3 linked regions of the Arabidopsis thaliana genome follow. The protein of the gene in region 1 purifies or fractionates together with the protein of each later gene. This does not show direct contact. Each region holds a gene or a part of one and is shown in the gene's direction. Other genes may lie near its edges.

Region 1 (4,981 bases):
TAACTTTAATATATACCAACATAATTTATACGAACATATGCTAAAGATTGATATAAAGTATAAACAATTGAAAAAGGGGGAAAATATAAAAATAAATAAATAAAGCATATAAAACTTTAGGACACGCAACGAGCACATGATCGTATGTAAGAAAAGATGGGAGATGACATGTTCTTTGTGGACAGCCTTGACTTTCTCACAAAGCTTAAGATTAATCATGGGATATGGTACTTTAATTTGTTGTCTTCGTCTTTAGATTTCACACTTTGGTCTTAAGCAAAACTCTCCAAGATGTCAGTTCGATAAAGAGAGCGAGAAAGAATATGGGCGGATTTTGTCAGCTTTCCAGCCAAAACATGCGTTTGCATGACGAGAAGAAGCATCTCGATCGTGGCTTCTTTCAATTTTAACTTTTGAGTTTTAACACGTAGCTTATTTCATATTTGACACTTACTCGAATGTAATCTCCTCTTTTGAATTTTGAAAATGATACACTAAACTAGAAATGCATCAATTTTATAGGCTTTTATGACTAATTGATGTCGAGTGGATTGACCATGTTCATTATATTTTACGATAGGTTTTAGGATTGTCAAGATGTTTCACTTACACATGAATAGACATATTCAGACATGCAAGCCTAAAGTAAAGGCTAAGGCAAGTAAACAAACATTGCAGTACAAACATATTTGCTTTAACAAACAAACAAACAAACAAAAATTAAAACAAAATGGATCTTTCTTGATAAATGGAAAATCCAATAAACTGTATGTATTAATTGGTGGTACCGTACTCTCTCCGTACCAGTTCCCAACAAATGACTCAACAATATCACCACGATACAATCTCAACCTCAATAGTTTCAACATTTATTATTGGTGTACTATTTATCGTAACAAATTTGGAGGATTACAATACTACAGCGCATGGCAAGGAAATTTCGAGGAAGATGAAATAGTATACGTTGAATGTTTTTTGTTTTTCATATTTTTTTTCATTAAAGATGTACGTTGAAGGTTCAACCATGTATAATGGATCCAGTGAACTAGGTTCAACCACCAAATCCTTTTCTTTTGTATATCTCACAGATCTATGATTTAGTCGGTTTTGAAAATGTTAAAAATGATGTGGGGACATAAAATATGATAGACCCCATACATATTTGTTTTGGTTTATAAATTCATATATAATTTATTTTCCGTTTACATAATTCACAATATTTTTATGAATTAGATTTATATATGACTATGAGACGAAAAATGACTAAGCTATAAACCCCGATCACATATTTGTTCACTCTAGCAGAAATATATATATACATCTTCTCTTTGCATGTTCTCGAAGTATTTAACAAAATTCTCTGTAAATAGTTAGTTATACAAACAGGAGGGAGCAGAAGAAACAAGTAAAGATCTATCAAAAGGAAAACAAAAAAGAAAAGAAGTAAAGGTAACAATTCCTTATGGGAAGATGACAAATAACAAGCCCAAAGATTATATATCATCAGCCATATAAATACTCGTTGGCCCATTTGAAAGTCATTTTGTAATGGGGGCCCATTTATTTCAATACGAAATATTTTAATTCCTTCTTTTGTTTTATGTTTGCATTTACAAAAATCAGCAAATATTAATTCATCTATTAATATGCCACAAAAATGTTATATAAAGTTGTAGACTAACTTAGTATAACACAAAAATGTGTTTTATGAAATGATTTATCTAATAGCAGGGTATTGTTATACACAATTTGTGATTTAAATGATAACAAAACAAAATAAACCCAATAATTTGTTTTCAATTCAATAAGCCTCTTGGTTCAATAATTTCTCATTCAATGTTTATACTTGTAAGTTGTAATCTTTGGCTCAAATTCTTCACTCTACAAACTATAGACGATGGTAAAATTAAATGCAAAATCCACTTTGAGAGGAAAATAACAAAAATGGTAAACGGAACCCTCTAAATCATTAAGCAGGTAAAGGTCAACATAATGACGCGCCACCTCCTTAAAAGACACGCCACGTAGACAATTCCTCAGAATCTGATTGGCTCATCTTACGTTGAAACAAGTCACCGAAACCCATCAAAATGCTCTTAAAACCTCCCACACTCTCACACGCGCGCGTGGAGTCTCTCTTGTCTTCGTTTGTGTTTGGTTTTTTTGGACTTTGACCTTCCTTGGCTTGGACTTGAGACCAAAAAAAAAAAAAGGAGAAGAAGACCATCGTTGTTCTCCGATGGCTATTAACAGAATTGCTCATGGTTCTCTGTTTCTGACGGTAGTCTTGTTCTTTCTGACGGTTAATTACGGCGAAGCTATATGGTTGACGATTCCGACGACGGGTGGAACGAAGTGTGTCTCCGAGGAGATACAGAGCAACGTCGTCGTTTTGGCTGATTACTATGTCGTCGATGAGCATAATCCTGAAAATACACCTGCTGTTTCTTCTAAGGTAAGGTTCCTATTGTGCTTGGAATTGAATCGCTTCAAAATTGAATCTTTTGTAGGAGATTGATTGGTTCAATTTTGCGCGTCTTTACTTCGATTTTTAGGGTTTTAATGGTTTTGTTATGTGGTTTAATCATCAAACTGTGAATTCTCTGTCGGTGACTTGTTACGGATCATATTCATTGATATGTATAAAGTTTTGAAATTTTTTAAAGATGCAGATTTGTTGTTGCATGTTAATGTGGCTTTATATTTGCAGATTTGGTTTGGATGTTCTTAAAGCTAATCATTGTCATAAGATTTTTGTATGGTGTCTTGAATTTTCTGTGATTTGGTTTGGATAGGTAACATCTCCGTATGGGAACAATCTTCATCACCAAGAAAATGTAACACATGGTCAGTTTGCATTCACAACTCAAGAAGCTGGGAACTACTTGGCTTGTTTCTGGATTGATTCCAGTCATCACTTAGCCAATCCTATAACCCTTGGGGTTGATTGGAAGATGGGTATTGCAGCTAAAGACTGGGACTCTGTTGCTAAAAAGGAAAAGATCGAGGCAAGTCTTCTTTTCACTTCTATGTAAACATCTTTCCCTCTCTGATGTGAAAACTCAACTCTTGTGAATGTGTATCTGCAGGGTGTTGAGCTTCAGTTGAGGAGACTTGAAGGGTTGGTGCTGTCGATTCGTGAGAACTTAAACTATATAAAAGACAGGTGTGTTTCTTTCGCCTTGCTGCGATTAAGTGGTATCTATTGAACTTCGGGAAACAAGAACATAGTGATAAAACGAAAACTTTGGATGCAGGGAAGCGGAGATGCGAGAAGTGAGTGAAACAACCAACTCAAGAGTGGCTTGGTTCAGTATAATGTCACTCGGGGTTTGCGTTGTGGTTGTGGGTTCACAGATACTGTATCTGAAGAGGTATTTCCACAAGAAGAAACTTATCTAGAAACTTGGCCTGAAGGATACTCTTACTATATATTAGTAACATCACACATCCCTACCTTGAAAAGAGGGATAAGCTCAAGATTGTAGAGTTGAATTGGTTAAAAAATCGAAGAACGCGTTTTCATTTATATTTTCTGTGAAACTTTACTACTGTCGATAGTTAGAGATCATTGAGTTTGTGCACAGTCACTTTTGTGTTTTGATTGATCTCTTTTGGAGTTAAAAAAAAAAATACAGGTAATGTGACAATGTACCAAAAGTTCTTTCTTTCACAGGCATTTTGGGGTAATTTTGTTATCAGAAATATGAATGTTAGTTAACATGTTTATTTATGATTAATGGTGCTAATAAATCAAGATTAAAGTAAACTAAAATTGCGTGGCGTAATTCTTGCAAAGAAGACAAATCTGATTTATCATGTAGACAAGCTTATTGTATGTTATGTCCTTTTCTATCATGTGTGGGAACAGTTAGACATCAGATCCAACATATTATAATATGTGTGTGTATTCATAATGGAAGAAGAACCAAATACATTTGGTTAGGTCATCTAAGCATTCTCCACTAGTTTATTGACAACATTTTGTCCAAAACATTTATAAGTGAATTTTAAATTGCCTAGTTACGGTAAAATATTTATATTTTTGATGTTTTTCTCTCTTTCTGAATCGTAATTCTACTGTTGTTTTGCTGATATCGTCATCGTGCTTACCTATACAATGGATCTCACTTTAATAGCACAAATATGTAAAGTTAATGCGAGGAGAAATAATAAAAGTTGGAATATGAATATTAGTTTTTAAAAATGAAGAGGTGTAATCCATTAGCCCAAGTTATGGAAGATGGAAGTCCAAGCATGAATCCAACTAAAGTCCTTTCACTTTTGCTTAATCTCTTACTTCTCTCGTACGTCATCGTACGAACCTCACACTTACCATTACCATTACCATTAATCACTTTCTCACTTGTTCCCACGGTACATTGTGTCTCTTTTGAGATTCATATATCAATAAAACCCCTCTCTCCAATAACCTCATGAAGTCGACCAAGCCCGCACCATCTATCATGCCAAAAAGAGGTCTGCGAACCACTTTCCACCTCCATCATATGAAATTCTGTCACTTGTGAACACAGCCCCGCAATCATATGGAGACGATGGCCTTCGGATATAGTTAGAATCACAAGCTTAATTCTGTTTCATAATCTCTATTTCTTTTTCTAAAAACTTTTGAAAGAATAATGCATTCATCGGAAGAAGATTTTTTTTTTGTAAATATAATTTTACATTCACTCTTTTTTTTTTTTGTAATCTCTTTTTACATTGATTTTTCCTTCTACGCCTATGCATTATTAATTTTTGGCAAAGTAAAATTTATCATCAAGCGAACGAATCAACAAAATACATGCTACTTTTTAAAAAAATAACGAAAAAATTATCAGAAATGAAAAAAAATAAAAACCATAGCATTCAAGATTGAAACGAGACACATCTAAAACAAAAAAAGTCTGACATATTCATGTGGCGTGAGGTTAGGCTTGATGGTGAGAAATGTTCTGAAGTGTTTGATCAACTACGTACG
Region 2 (5,702 bases), 640 kb from region 1:
ATGTCACCATTTTTGAAGTTCTTTCTCTTTCTCTATGATTATCTTTCACCTTCCTCTTTCTTTCTGGTAAATCATTTCATCTCTCTCTGTTTTACATACTCTTGATGATTCTTGATTTCACAATTTATTTAATCCTTTTTTTTTCTTGGTTTTGTGGGGTTTAAGGTCCAAAGAAATACCTTAGGAGCATCATTAGATACTACAGATGGGGTTGTGAGAAGTGGCATAATTGGAGAGATTATATACATTTGGAAGCAGACAAGAATCTTTGTCTTTATACCAATCTTGAAATGCTTAGTGACAATATGTTTGGTAATGTCCCTTTTGTTGTTCATAGAAAGAGTTTATATGAGCATAGTAGTAGTGTTTGTGAAATTACTTAGACGAACACCTGAGAAAGTACACAAGTGGGAACCTATAAACGATGATGACCTTGAGCTTGCCAATACAAACTACCCAATGGTTCTCATTCAGATCCCAATGTACAATGAAAAAGAGGTAATTATGATTTTGTTGTAACCAAGATTTTTTTTAATGAATATACATATATTATACAATACTAATGAAGGAATCAAATTCTTGTTGTTGTCACAGGTTTGTCAGTTATCTATAGGAGCAGCCTGTAGACTTTCTTGGCCATTGGATCGAATGATAGTTCAAGTACTTGATGATTCCACAGATCCAGCTAGTAAGGTCCTTTGTTCAATTTTTTTCCCCCCAAAAATCTTTGGTTTATATGTATGATTGGTTCCTCAACTATATATGGAACGTTTTTGACATATGAAATGATTTGGAAAAGACAGGAATTGGTGAATGCGGAATGTGATAAATGGGCGAGGAAAGGTATAAACATAATGTCAGAGATTAGAGACAACAGAATTGGATACAAAGCAGGAGCATTAAAGGCAGGAATGATGCACAACTATGTGAAACAATGCGAATTCGTCGCCATTTTCGATGCTGATTTTCAGCCTGATCCTGACTTTCTTGAACGAACCATTCCTTTTCTTATTCACAACCATGAAATCTCTCTTGTTCAATGCCGTTGGAAGTTTGGTAAAGTCATATCTTTTTTGAAAAATAATAGTTATTATTTTGTTAAGTCAAATTGGCTAATGGAGAGAATGTGTTACATGTAGTGAATGCAAACGAGTGCTTAATGACAAGAATGCAAGAGATGTCACTAAACTACCATTTTGTGGCTGAGCAAGAATCTGGATCTTCAATACATGCTTTCTTTGGATTCAATGGAACCGCGGGTGTATGGAGAATCGCAGCTTTAAACGAAGCTGGAGGATGGAAAGATCGAACAACCGTAGAAGATATGGATTTAGCAGTAAGAGCTTGTCTTCATGGTTGGAAATTTGTCTATGTCCATGACGTCGAGGTACTACTACTATAACCCTTTTAAACTCAAGCAAAACATAACAAGATTTCATTCAAGACATTATTAAGTAATCTAACATTTCAGGTGAAAAATGAATTGCCAAGTACATTCAAAGCATACAGGTTTCAGCAACATAGATGGTCTTGTGGACCAGCTAATCTATGGAGGAAGATGACAATGGAAATCTTACAGAACAAGAAAGTGTCGGCCTGGAAGAAATTGTATCTCATATACAATTTCTTCTTCATAAGGAAGATTGTAGTACACATCTTCACATTTGTCTTCTACTGTCTGATATTACCAACAACTGTGCTATTCCCTGAGCTCCAAGTTCCTAAATGGGCAACTGTTTATTTTCCTACTACAATCACTATCCTTAACGCAATCGCTACACCTCGGTAACAACATCTCTACTGTTCAAGTAAAACTCTGTTTTCTCATTTCCTAGTATGATAAAAAGTTTGACATATATTGTCTACTGCAGATCACTCCATCTTCTTGTCTTTTGGATCTTATTCGAGAATGTAATGTCGATGCATCGCACAAAAGCGACATTCATCGGGTTACTAGAGGCAGGACGGGTTAACGAATGGGTTGTTACTGAAAAATTAGGTGACACTCTCAAGTCTAAGTTAATAGGTAAAGCTACAACTAAGCTTTATACCAGATTTGGACAAAGGTACTCTTAACTTAAAAACACACACACAATTACAATTTTTAAGCATTTTGAAATGTTGTAACTAATTTTAGTTAACATTTTGCAGACTCAACTGGAGAGAACTCGTTGTTGGATTATATATATTCTTCTGCGGATGTTACGATTTCGCATATGGAGGATCATACTTTTATGTTTATCTGTTTTTACAGTCTTGTGCATTTTTTGTTGCTGGAGTTGGTTATATTGGCACATTTGTTCCAACTGTTTAGATTAGACTTTTGTATTTGAGAGCAAATGTGTTTTTGCTATTTGATTAGACCAAATTAGAGATTGGATCTTGGTTACTTAAACCAAGTTAACTCTTCCAATATTCATACTCAAAATGTAATTTTTTAAATGGTGTTATGATCTTAAAATTTGGTTATCGATCATATTCATACGTAACATTTTATGAATTTGTATTTGCCAATTGTGTTCTAGAAAGAAAATTGAGAGAAACATACAAAAAAAACAAGTCAACGTCAATGATTTAAGATGTTGAAAATGACATGGCGGTTTTGGATTGGTTAGATGCAATCCACGGCCAATGACCCATCACGCATGTAAACCGCGTAAGCACAAGGCCCCTCCACGAAAACATTCGTCGAGGGGTATTCTAGGTATTACCGGTGATAATTTATGTGAATTGACGTTTTTATCCTTTGCCTCTATAAAGATCTTCTTCCGTTTTTGCAATTACGGCGTCGCGCATTTAGCGTTGTTTTGAAGCTCTCTCTTTCAAATTCTGTTCGTCTCTCGCGATCTCTCTCTCTCTCTCAGATAGCTCCGAAACTTTCACGCAGAGGTATTATTGATCTAGATCTGAGCTAAGGCATTCTCAATTTTGATTGTTTCAGTGTGTTCTTAGGTTGGGAATTGAATATTCTTGCTTCGATTTAGGATTTTTCTTATGATGATCCGTTGTATCTTTGGGTAATGCTTTGGATTTCGATGTTTTTGGTTGAAAATTCTGATTTCGATCTGCTGCTGCATCGTTTCAAGTCTGGATCTATGAACATTATCTTCGATTTCACCTTTTTCTCGTTGTAATTGCTTCAATTAGATTCTGAATTCCGCAAGATCTATACGATGAGGTTTTGTAAACGTTGTTGCATCTGTTTCGATCTGCGTTATTCTAATGATTTATAGTCAACATTTGGAGTTCTCGCTGGTGATCTCTCTTTATGTGATATTGATACTCTGTTTCTGTGTGTTAGTTAAGTGAAGCAGGATGGGATTGTCATTCGCCAAGCTTTTTAGCAGGCTTTTTGCCAAGAAGGAGATGAGAATTCTGATGGTTGGTCTTGATGCTGCTGGTAAGACCACCATTTTGTACAAGCTCAAGCTCGGAGAGATTGTAACCACCATTCCCACTATTGGTAAGCTTAAACATCATTTCATAATTCAGTGTTTCAAAAGCTTAGTTCCATCAACTTTGTTCATACCATTCATACAAAATTTTGTCTTCCACCTGCCGTGATGATTAAACTACTACAAACTGTGGACAGGGTTCAATGTGGAGACTGTGGAGTACAAGAACATCAGTTTCACAGTGTGGGATGTCGGCGGTCAGGATAAGGTATAAGATTATCCAACTCTAAAGCATTAAGAATTCTTTTTTTTTTGCATCACTACCTGGGGATCTTTTTCCTACTGTGTCTTGGTATTATTGTTGATGAACATAGAATTACACAAACTCACATGTCGCAAAACCTCCACTTCTTGTTGTCAGATCCGTCCCTTGTGGAGGCATTACTTCCAGAACACCCAAGGTCTTATCTTTGTGGTGGACAGCAATGACAGAGACCGTGTTGTTGAGGCTAGAGATGAATTGCACCGAATGTTGAATGAGGTCTGTATCAAGTGTTATATCTTTGCCTGTTGTATTGAATTCTTCATGTTTAGATGATTCAGTAAACTGTTTGTCGGGGTTTTACAGGACGAGCTGCGTGATGCTGTTCTGCTCGTATTTGCTAACAAGCAGGATCTCCCAAATGCTATGAATGCAGCTGAGATCACGGATAAGCTTGGTCTCCACTCTCTCCGTCAGCGTCACTGGTAAATAAAAACATTATAATCTCCCCTGCTTCCCTCATGTTGATTTGTTCTCCTGCACATAACGTTTCTTATGATATAGTTCCAAAGATTTATCACCTCTCTGATTGATTTTATGTCTACGAACTCTCTCCAGGTACATCCAGAGCACATGTGCCACTTCAGGCGAGGGGCTTTACGAAGGTCTTGACTGGTTGTCCAACAACATTGCCGGCAAGGTAAATTATCACAAACAACAATTTTGATTTGTGGATCAGTATTTTGAAGCAAATCGTGATTCTTGTTTCTGTGTTCTTGTTACTGGTTGTGCAGGCGTAGAGGGAAAGTTCGTGGTGGAGTTGATTTGCTGAGCAAATCTGGATGCAGGGGCAAACATTATCTGAATTTTTTTTTTGGTTTCCGTTTTCGTTATTGTTCTGCTTTTTTTTTTGGGATATGTCGATGGATTTTGTGATTGTACGTAGAACTTAGAAAAAAACTACCTTTTATATAGTTTTGGTAAAACTGTAATCGAAGATTTCACCTACTGCTTTCGTGGTTTTGGTCACATTTTACTTGTGCACTTTGATTCATATGTTGGAATGCGGTTTCGTTGGCACCTGCTACACGAAACTTGATGATTTTGCTAGTATTTGTCATATGAATCAAGTAGAGGAAAGCCATGACCAGTAGGCGAAATGCTAGAGTGTGGCAGAAGAGGAATGAGTAGACAATTTAATCATAAATCCACTTGTTTGAAAAAAAAGTTAACATTCAAAATTCTTTGCTGGCATCCTCTAATCCCTTTAATATTTCCAAATTCTCGCACTTTTTGAACACCACATTCATTTTTGTCAGAATATTGCGTTCTTAATTTGTCTAGAATAAGCACACTAAAACTAATAATTATCTTAACAACCATGGAATAACATAAATTATCTGTTTTTCTTTATAATATTTTTGTAGAATTGTAGGTTAATGAAATGTATAAATTGTGATTCTAAGAGTATATATGAATAGTACAATTGTACGGTTGGAACTATTTTGCGGATTACTGTTCAAAATTAATGTGTTTAAAGGTCACTGATTTACTTTCTTATTCTGCCAGCCATTAAGGGAACGTTAATCATCATTTTGACTAGAGTGATAGTTGCAAGGACGATATTAAATACAGTATTTGATAAGCAATTAAGGAAAATAAAAGAAACAGAAACAGAAACAGAAGATTTGAGTTTATTGAAGAAGGAATTTAGAGTGATTGGAGTTTTAATAAGTTTTGAGATGATTTTGGTGAATTTTGGTGAATTAGGAAATTTGTCACTAAAATTTCCTCAAATCTCACCTAAAACCATGAGATTTATATGTTTGAATTTTAAACTAAGAAAATTCCCTATAATCTCACCTAAAGTCACTCAAATCACTTCAAATTATCAAAGATTAATTCATTGGATTTGATTTGTTTTCCAAAATTAAACAAGATACCAATTATTAAAAAATAAAGATCCCGTTGATTTTGGATGTACAACTTTTCCGAACTAGTCGTATATAAATACTAGCTTCTTTGACGTCGACTATAGCAGCTTT
Region 3 (6,168 bases), 2.6 Mb from region 1:
ATTGTTTAAAAAGTTTGACCTAAAAAAAAAGTGTATTTTAGTGACATGATCAAATCAATTATTTTAAACTTTTCTTATCCACCACCACATTTCTAGATTTTGGAATGATTAAAAAATGCATACATGATGTTTTTATAAGATTTTTACGGTGTTGGTTCTATTTTGTTTTTCTTATTGCCATTTTTTCGATTATTAGTGTTTTGTATGTTAAACTTGCCGATTGTTCCAATTACTATAATATAACAAAAACAAGTTTTAGCTATCGATTTTTCCAAAGTTTTACAACGAAGTTTTTATAAGTTAACATGAAGTAATAATAGTATATGTTTTAAAATTATACGTTTTTTTGTATGAAATTAAATGTTACATTACACTATTAAAGATTCCAATAATTAAAACACATGTTACAATGAGTAAATTTTATTATCAGACAATAAACATCTCTTTGCTCTAAGAAGAAACCTATGCTAGTGAAGCGTTGACTCTGGAAAGATGCAAGTGCAACGTGTCGCTGAAACATTGAAGGCGCGTGTAGAAAAATGTTAAGCTAAAGGGAAGTTCACTTTCTTTAACCAAGTTTTGCGTTTTGCAAATTACAACTAAAGAATCCACTAAAGCTAACCCAACTAAATTCAAACATTTTTCTATGTGATCAGTTTACCATCAAACTATTTCATATTTTTGCAATGTGTAGTAAAAACTTTCTTTGTTACATTATATGCTTCTTTTATAAGCAAAAATACCATATTACATTACATGTTCATTTCATTTTTGTTTGGTATTTGCGCTTACAATTTACAAAATGATTTTGTTTGATACTATTTACATTTACATGTGAAATTATTGTGTTCATCGTAAAACGTTCAAAATTTCTAAAAATTGTAAGAAATTATTGTAAATGTAAACAAAGTCGGTTTCCTATAAAACCACACGTCTGAACCACCTTAATCATCATCACAACATGAAATTACAAAAGCAGCGACTTTGTCGATTGCCGTAGTTTCATTGTAGCATAGATAATCCCGTCACGTGATGTTATCTATTTTTAACTGTTTCAATGTAGTCAGAAAAGCTATTTGTTTGATTTCAGAACTGTTTGATTAGTGGCCATTGAAAAATTCTATAATCTATAGTCAATAGTCTATACACAATTGAAAATGGTATAGTTGATTTTTTAAAATACGCCATTAAATAAAATTATATATAGAACTTCTCTATAATCGATAAAGTCGAACACTCCAGGCAACAAGCGGACCGACCACGGAGTCTAACGTAAGAGTATTATTAGTGATACTGTAGGTTTTCTTTGACTAACGATAAAGAAAAAACAAACATGTTTAATTTCTCGTGTCCTCTATATTCATGAGTCATGACGTTCATACAATTTATTCTTGTTTTAAATGACGTTCATACATCATTTTCATGGTTGTCTATTAGTTCACTAGAAAAACGAAGTCTTGAACGTTGAAGCGAAGCATTGAATATCATTTTATAATTTTATGGACTAAACTATACATTTCAATCATCTTTGCAAAAAAGAAAAAAAAAAATGAGTTAGATCATAAGGAGTCAGGACAACAGCTAGCACAAAAATCTCAAAATCCTATACTGTTTAACCCAAAACAACCGTAGAACAAATATTATTATACACCCAAAAAAAAAAACATATTTGCAATCACATTAGTTTGTAAACACTTCTATTTCGTTCCATAACCAAAAAAAAAAAAAAAAAAAAATCAACATTCAATTTTTTATTTTAAAACATGTTTGCATATGTTCATGGTATGACATTGGGTATTAATCTATCACAGAGAGCTAAAGCCCATATAAATAATAACAGAAGGCCCATATCTATTAATAACCAACTCTTAACCGGTCCATTCTAACTGTTTTTCTCAAATACAAAACACGTGGATAACACGAGGAATTAAAATTGAAGTTAAACACCACACCATGTCGCGTACGAAGCTGCCACATCACTGTTCTATTAACACGTGGCTTAATATGATGCAATATAGACCCACCGATAGCTGGCGCTTTCTAGTTTACCAAGGTGCGACGTACCAGATAACACCACCTCTCCACTTTTGAAAATTAAAACGCTCTCTTTTGGTAATTATTTAGGGAAACTTCGATAATTAATCGAATAATGAAGGACTAATTTGCAGTTTTAAGGAAATAAGTAAGCACACACGTTAGAGAAGAAAGACCGTTCCAGATTGCCACGTCATCGTCTCCTCTCAACGAGTTTCTGCAAAACCTGAAACGTGCTGCACCTTGCCTCTCTTTCTCTCTCTTCCTTCGTTTCTCTCTCGATTTGAAGAGAGAAAATTCGTTCGATTTCGTTTTCTCTTCTTCTTTTGGATTTTCCCGGAAAATTTTGGAATCGGTGAGTCTCTATCGATTACTGGTCAACCATGAATATCTTTAGATTTGCTGGCGATATGAGTCACTTGATCAGTGTCTTAATCCTTCTTCTCAAAATCTACGCGACGAAATCTTGCGCTGGTGAGTTCTCTCTCTCTCTCTCTCTTTCATGAAATGTGTTGTGTATATTTTGAAGACGAGCTCGTAGACGAAACAATCGCATTTTGCTTTGACCTTTTGTTTTCCTTTCCATAGCTTTCAAATGCAATCTTATTTGAATCCTGTTGAGGTCTATTTATCGATTTCGAGGCGAATCCGAGTTGGTAGATTGAAATTGCAAGTCAAAATAGTTGTGAAATCTCAATCTTCGAAACCACTATGGAATTTCTAAACGAGTGAGATCTCTCACCCCTAAATTGCATTAGGTTTAACGGAAAATTGCTACACGGAATGGAAAATGCTTGTAGATGCTCATGATTTTCTCATAGATTGTGCAGCTCCTAACATTGTTGCTGTTGACTTTTGGATTTTGTTGGCTAGGAATCTCTCTCAAGACTCAAGAGCTCTATGCGCTTGTGTTCTTGACTCGGTACTTGGATCTGTTTACGGATTATGTATCTCTGTACAACAGCATCATGAAGATTGTCTTCATTGCCAGCTCTTTGGCTATCGTTTGGTGTATGCGTAGGCATCCACTTGTGAGGAGGTCATACGATAAGGACCTGGACACATTTCGTCATCAGTATGTTGTGTTAGCGTGTTTTGTACTGGGACTTATCCTGAATGAAAAATTCACAGTTCAAGAGGTATTTTCATATGAATTTCACATTGCTTTTGTGTTTTTAGGTTGTAGAGACTAGGAAAGCGAATACTTGTTGTTAGAAGACATGCATATGTTGTGTAATCTTGTTTTTGGTTTATTTATTCATTTGATTCATTCGGTTCCTTCTTCTTATATCATTTGGATTTGGTAACTATCTTGGCTAGTGTAGAATAGAATATCGTCTATGTAAATGAAACTGAACATAACTCCTTCCAGAACCAATTAGGAGTCCGGCGTTTATAGTTTTATTTTTGCTTGTTTAAACGTTGTACTACCTATGTAGCCTCTCACTCGCTGATTGTTTTGAGAAACTCTTTGAATATCAAACTGTTGCATCGTGAAAGGTTTGTTTGCTTCCATTCATGGAATCTTCTGTGTCCTACCTACCTATGTTCCATAAGGTGCCCCATGGATTAGTGTCATCTGTATCTCGCTGTTACTTTTCTGGCCATTGTGTTCTTTGATTATCTTGTCATAAGAAACTGTAGTGACTCCTTATATGCACTTCACTAAGATCGTTTTCCCTTACTACCTTCATATGTATTTTTCCAGTATATGCTCTTGGTAAAGATCTGATCTTTGCAAACTGCCTTCACTCTTTAAGTATTTTTGCAGCATTGTGGCCTCTCTGTGTTGATAGCCAGAATCATTGTGCAATATGTTAATTCTGTGCATTCCAAACCATTTCAGGTGTTCTGGGCGTTTTCTATCTACTTAGAGGCAGTTGCTATCCTTCCCCAGTTGGTTCTGCTACAAAGAAGTGGGAATGTCGACAATTTGACTGGGCAATATGTTGTCTTTCTCGGGTACGTAATTCTAACCAGACATATGCGTTTGCTCACTTGATCTCCACTGGCTTCTCTGTTGGGTTTGTTTTTAGAATTGGTTTATCTTATATATATACTGTGTCTTTCACTGCTCATGCACTTGTTAACTTGATCAATGAGAATCGCTCTCCAGTGTCATTGTGGTGTTTAAAAATCAGTGCATATTTCTAAAGTCCAGACATTGTTTTCCGTTTAATGTTAATGCGTCTGGAAGCTGAGCTGAACTATATTTTTTTCTATAAAGGAAATCAGACTGCTTTACATCTTGCTATGCATTTGGTTCTGATGCATACCTTTGTGTCCAGTGCACAATATTTCAATGTGCAAAATTGAGTAAGTATTCTGTATGCACTCACATGGGCAATGATTAACATGCAGGGCGTATCGGGGACTCTATATTATCAACTGGATCTATCGCTATTTCACAGAAGATCATTTCACTAGATGGATTGGTAATGTTTCAACAAAGAAGCACTAAATGCATTTTAACCATTTGTTTTTCCTCAATGCTAATGTTTTACGTAAATCCATTTTCCAGCTTGTGTGTCTGGTCTTGTCCAAACAGCTCTCTATGCGGATTTCTTCTACTACTACTACATAAGGTAAAGTAACCTCACCAGTCTGAATAATATTCTCTTTATAGTTACTGATCATGTTACTGACTTTGGATCCTTTTTGATTTTGTTGTAGCTGGAAAACCAACACCAAACTTAAGCTTCCGGCTTGAAAAGAACCCGAATTTTTTTGCAATAGTATCAAAATCCAGGAAGTTACAGCAATGGTGACATTAGAAAAGAAAGACATGGTTAACATTTGGGTCCTCCCTCTTTCTAACAATGAGTTGAAAATTGAATGATGCAGGATTGTTGTTTAAAATGTGTTTTTTTTTTAGTCTTTAATGCACATTGTAACTTTCCCGACGATTTTAGACATTGAGAAGAGGCATCGTTTTATCAAAACTAGTCTTTATAGATAACACACAAACTCTGTTTCTTTTGTGCGAGTGTTTAGTTCAAAACTGTAGCTCAGATCAGAGCCAAGTTAACAATGTGTCTTCAAAACTTAAACCTAGTCTTCTTGATTGTGTTTCACTATCTTGGTCTTCTTCTTGTGCTCTCGTGTCTTCTTGCTTCTTAGCTCGTCTTTCTCTTCACCTTCAGAGACTTTTTCTCTACTGCGTTTCTCTTTCTTTGACTTTTTTGTTTTGACCGGAGCCTTCTCAATCTCGTCTTCATTCTCCTCATCGTCTTCACCCTCAAAGACTATTTCTCTACTGCGTTTCTCTTTCTTTGACTTCTTTCTTTTCACAGGAGCCTTCTCTGTTTCATCATCTTCCTGGTCCATGATCGTCATCTTCTCCTCTGTGGCAGCCTCAGCCACTGTGTTTGCTACAGCTGTCTCTGCTTCAACCATGAATCCAATCATTTTACAAACATACTAACAGAGGAATACAAACATAGATGCGATTTGTGAACGGCATTAGAAAACAAACAAACCTTCTCCAGAAAAGCCCGAGTCGAATACAAGACCTGTAAGATGCTGCTTCAAGAAAACCTGCAATAAAACAATGATATATAAGTAAGACTCAACTTCACCAAAAAAATACTAGTCCAAAGGTTGAAGAGCATACCGCAGAAATGAGCTGGCGTGTCTTAACGTCATAAACACGTAAATATCGGTCCAGCCCTAGACAATTCAATTAAAAGAAAAACAGATGAAATTGTTGAACAATTAAATAAAACAACACAAATGAGATTGTTGTTACGGGTTACGGCATATGGACGTTGAAGTTGTGATAATGAATCTTACCGCAAGAAGCTATCACTTGATGCTGTGGATGTCTAACCACAGATCTTATGCTTCCAGAGCATTTTCCTAAAAAGCTTCCCAACAGCTTTCCTGCAATAGAGATGCTCGATTAATTGTTTGATTCAGCAAGCAACATAGTTTATGATACATTTTTAGAGAGAATCAATGAACCTGTTCGTATATCAAAGGAAGCTAGGTCAGCAGAAGCATTCCCGACATAGATAGTATGACCGTCTGGGTCTTCCGCAATTGATGTAATAGCGGTCTCACGGAAATCAAAGGACAGGACCGGTCTACGTTGAGTAGAAATGTCATAAAGACGGACCTGTCTCCAGCACAGGC

The links.
Region 2: the proteins of p24delta5 (region 1) and ARF1 purify together in Arabidopsis thaliana (affinity purification with western blotting, with the first as the bait; one study listed by BioGRID). This does not show direct contact.
Region 3: the proteins of p24delta5 (region 1) and ERD2 purify together in Arabidopsis thaliana (affinity purification with western blotting, with the first as the bait; one study listed by BioGRID). This does not show direct contact.

Annotation. Positions count from the first base shown.
Region 1 is NC_003070.9:7,689,586-7,694,566, reverse strand, and holds p24delta5 (emp24/gp25L/p24 family/GOLD family protein), read left to right. Parts: upstream 1-2,107; 5' UTR 2,108-2,239; coding exon 2,240-2,455; intron 2,456-2,795; coding exon 2,796-3,008; intron 3,009-3,089; coding exon 3,090-3,166; intron 3,167-3,257; coding exon 3,258-3,402; 3' UTR 3,403-3,765; downstream 3,766-4,981. UniProt on the Arabidopsis thaliana protein: Involved in vesicular protein trafficking. Mainly functions in the early secretory pathway.
Region 2 is NC_003070.9:8,333,917-8,339,618, forward strand, and holds ARF1 (ADP-ribosylation factor 1), read left to right. Parts: upstream 1-2,676; 5' UTR 2,677-2,889; intron 2,890-3,301; 5' UTR 3,302-3,315; coding exon 3,316-3,463; intron 3,464-3,592; coding exon 3,593-3,663; intron 3,664-3,816; coding exon 3,817-3,936; intron 3,937-4,023; coding exon 4,024-4,142; intron 4,143-4,275; coding exon 4,276-4,357; intron 4,358-4,451; coding exon 4,452-4,457; 3' UTR 4,458-4,911; downstream 4,912-5,702. Other genes in the region: CSLA03 (cellulose synthase-like A3), read left to right, coding at 1-66, 166-498, 595-693, 804-1,056, 1,140-1,387, 1,472-1,785, 1,872-2,066, 2,152-2,314. UniProt on the Arabidopsis thaliana protein: GTP-binding protein involved in protein trafficking; may modulate vesicle budding and uncoating within the Golgi apparatus.
Region 3 is NC_003070.9:10,257,156-10,263,323, reverse strand, and holds ERD2 (ER lumen protein retaining receptor family protein), read left to right. Parts: upstream 1-2,091; 5' UTR 2,092-2,417; coding exon 2,418-2,508; intron 2,509-2,515; exon of another isoform or gene 2,516-2,762; intron 2,763-2,907; coding exon 2,908-3,173; intron 3,174-3,880; coding exon 3,881-3,996; intron 3,997-4,395; coding exon 4,396-4,469; intron 4,470-4,555; coding exon 4,556-4,619; intron 4,620-4,707; coding exon 4,708-4,744; 3' UTR 4,745-5,076; downstream 5,077-6,168. Other genes in the region: AT1G29320 (Transducin/WD40 repeat-like superfamily protein), read right to left, coding at 5,086-5,420, 5,514-5,571, 5,648-5,703, 5,827-5,916, 5,998-6,151. UniProt on the Arabidopsis thaliana protein: Required for the retention of luminal endoplasmic reticulum proteins. Determines the specificity of the luminal ER protein retention system. Also required for normal vesicular traffic through the Golgi. This receptor recognizes H-D-E-L.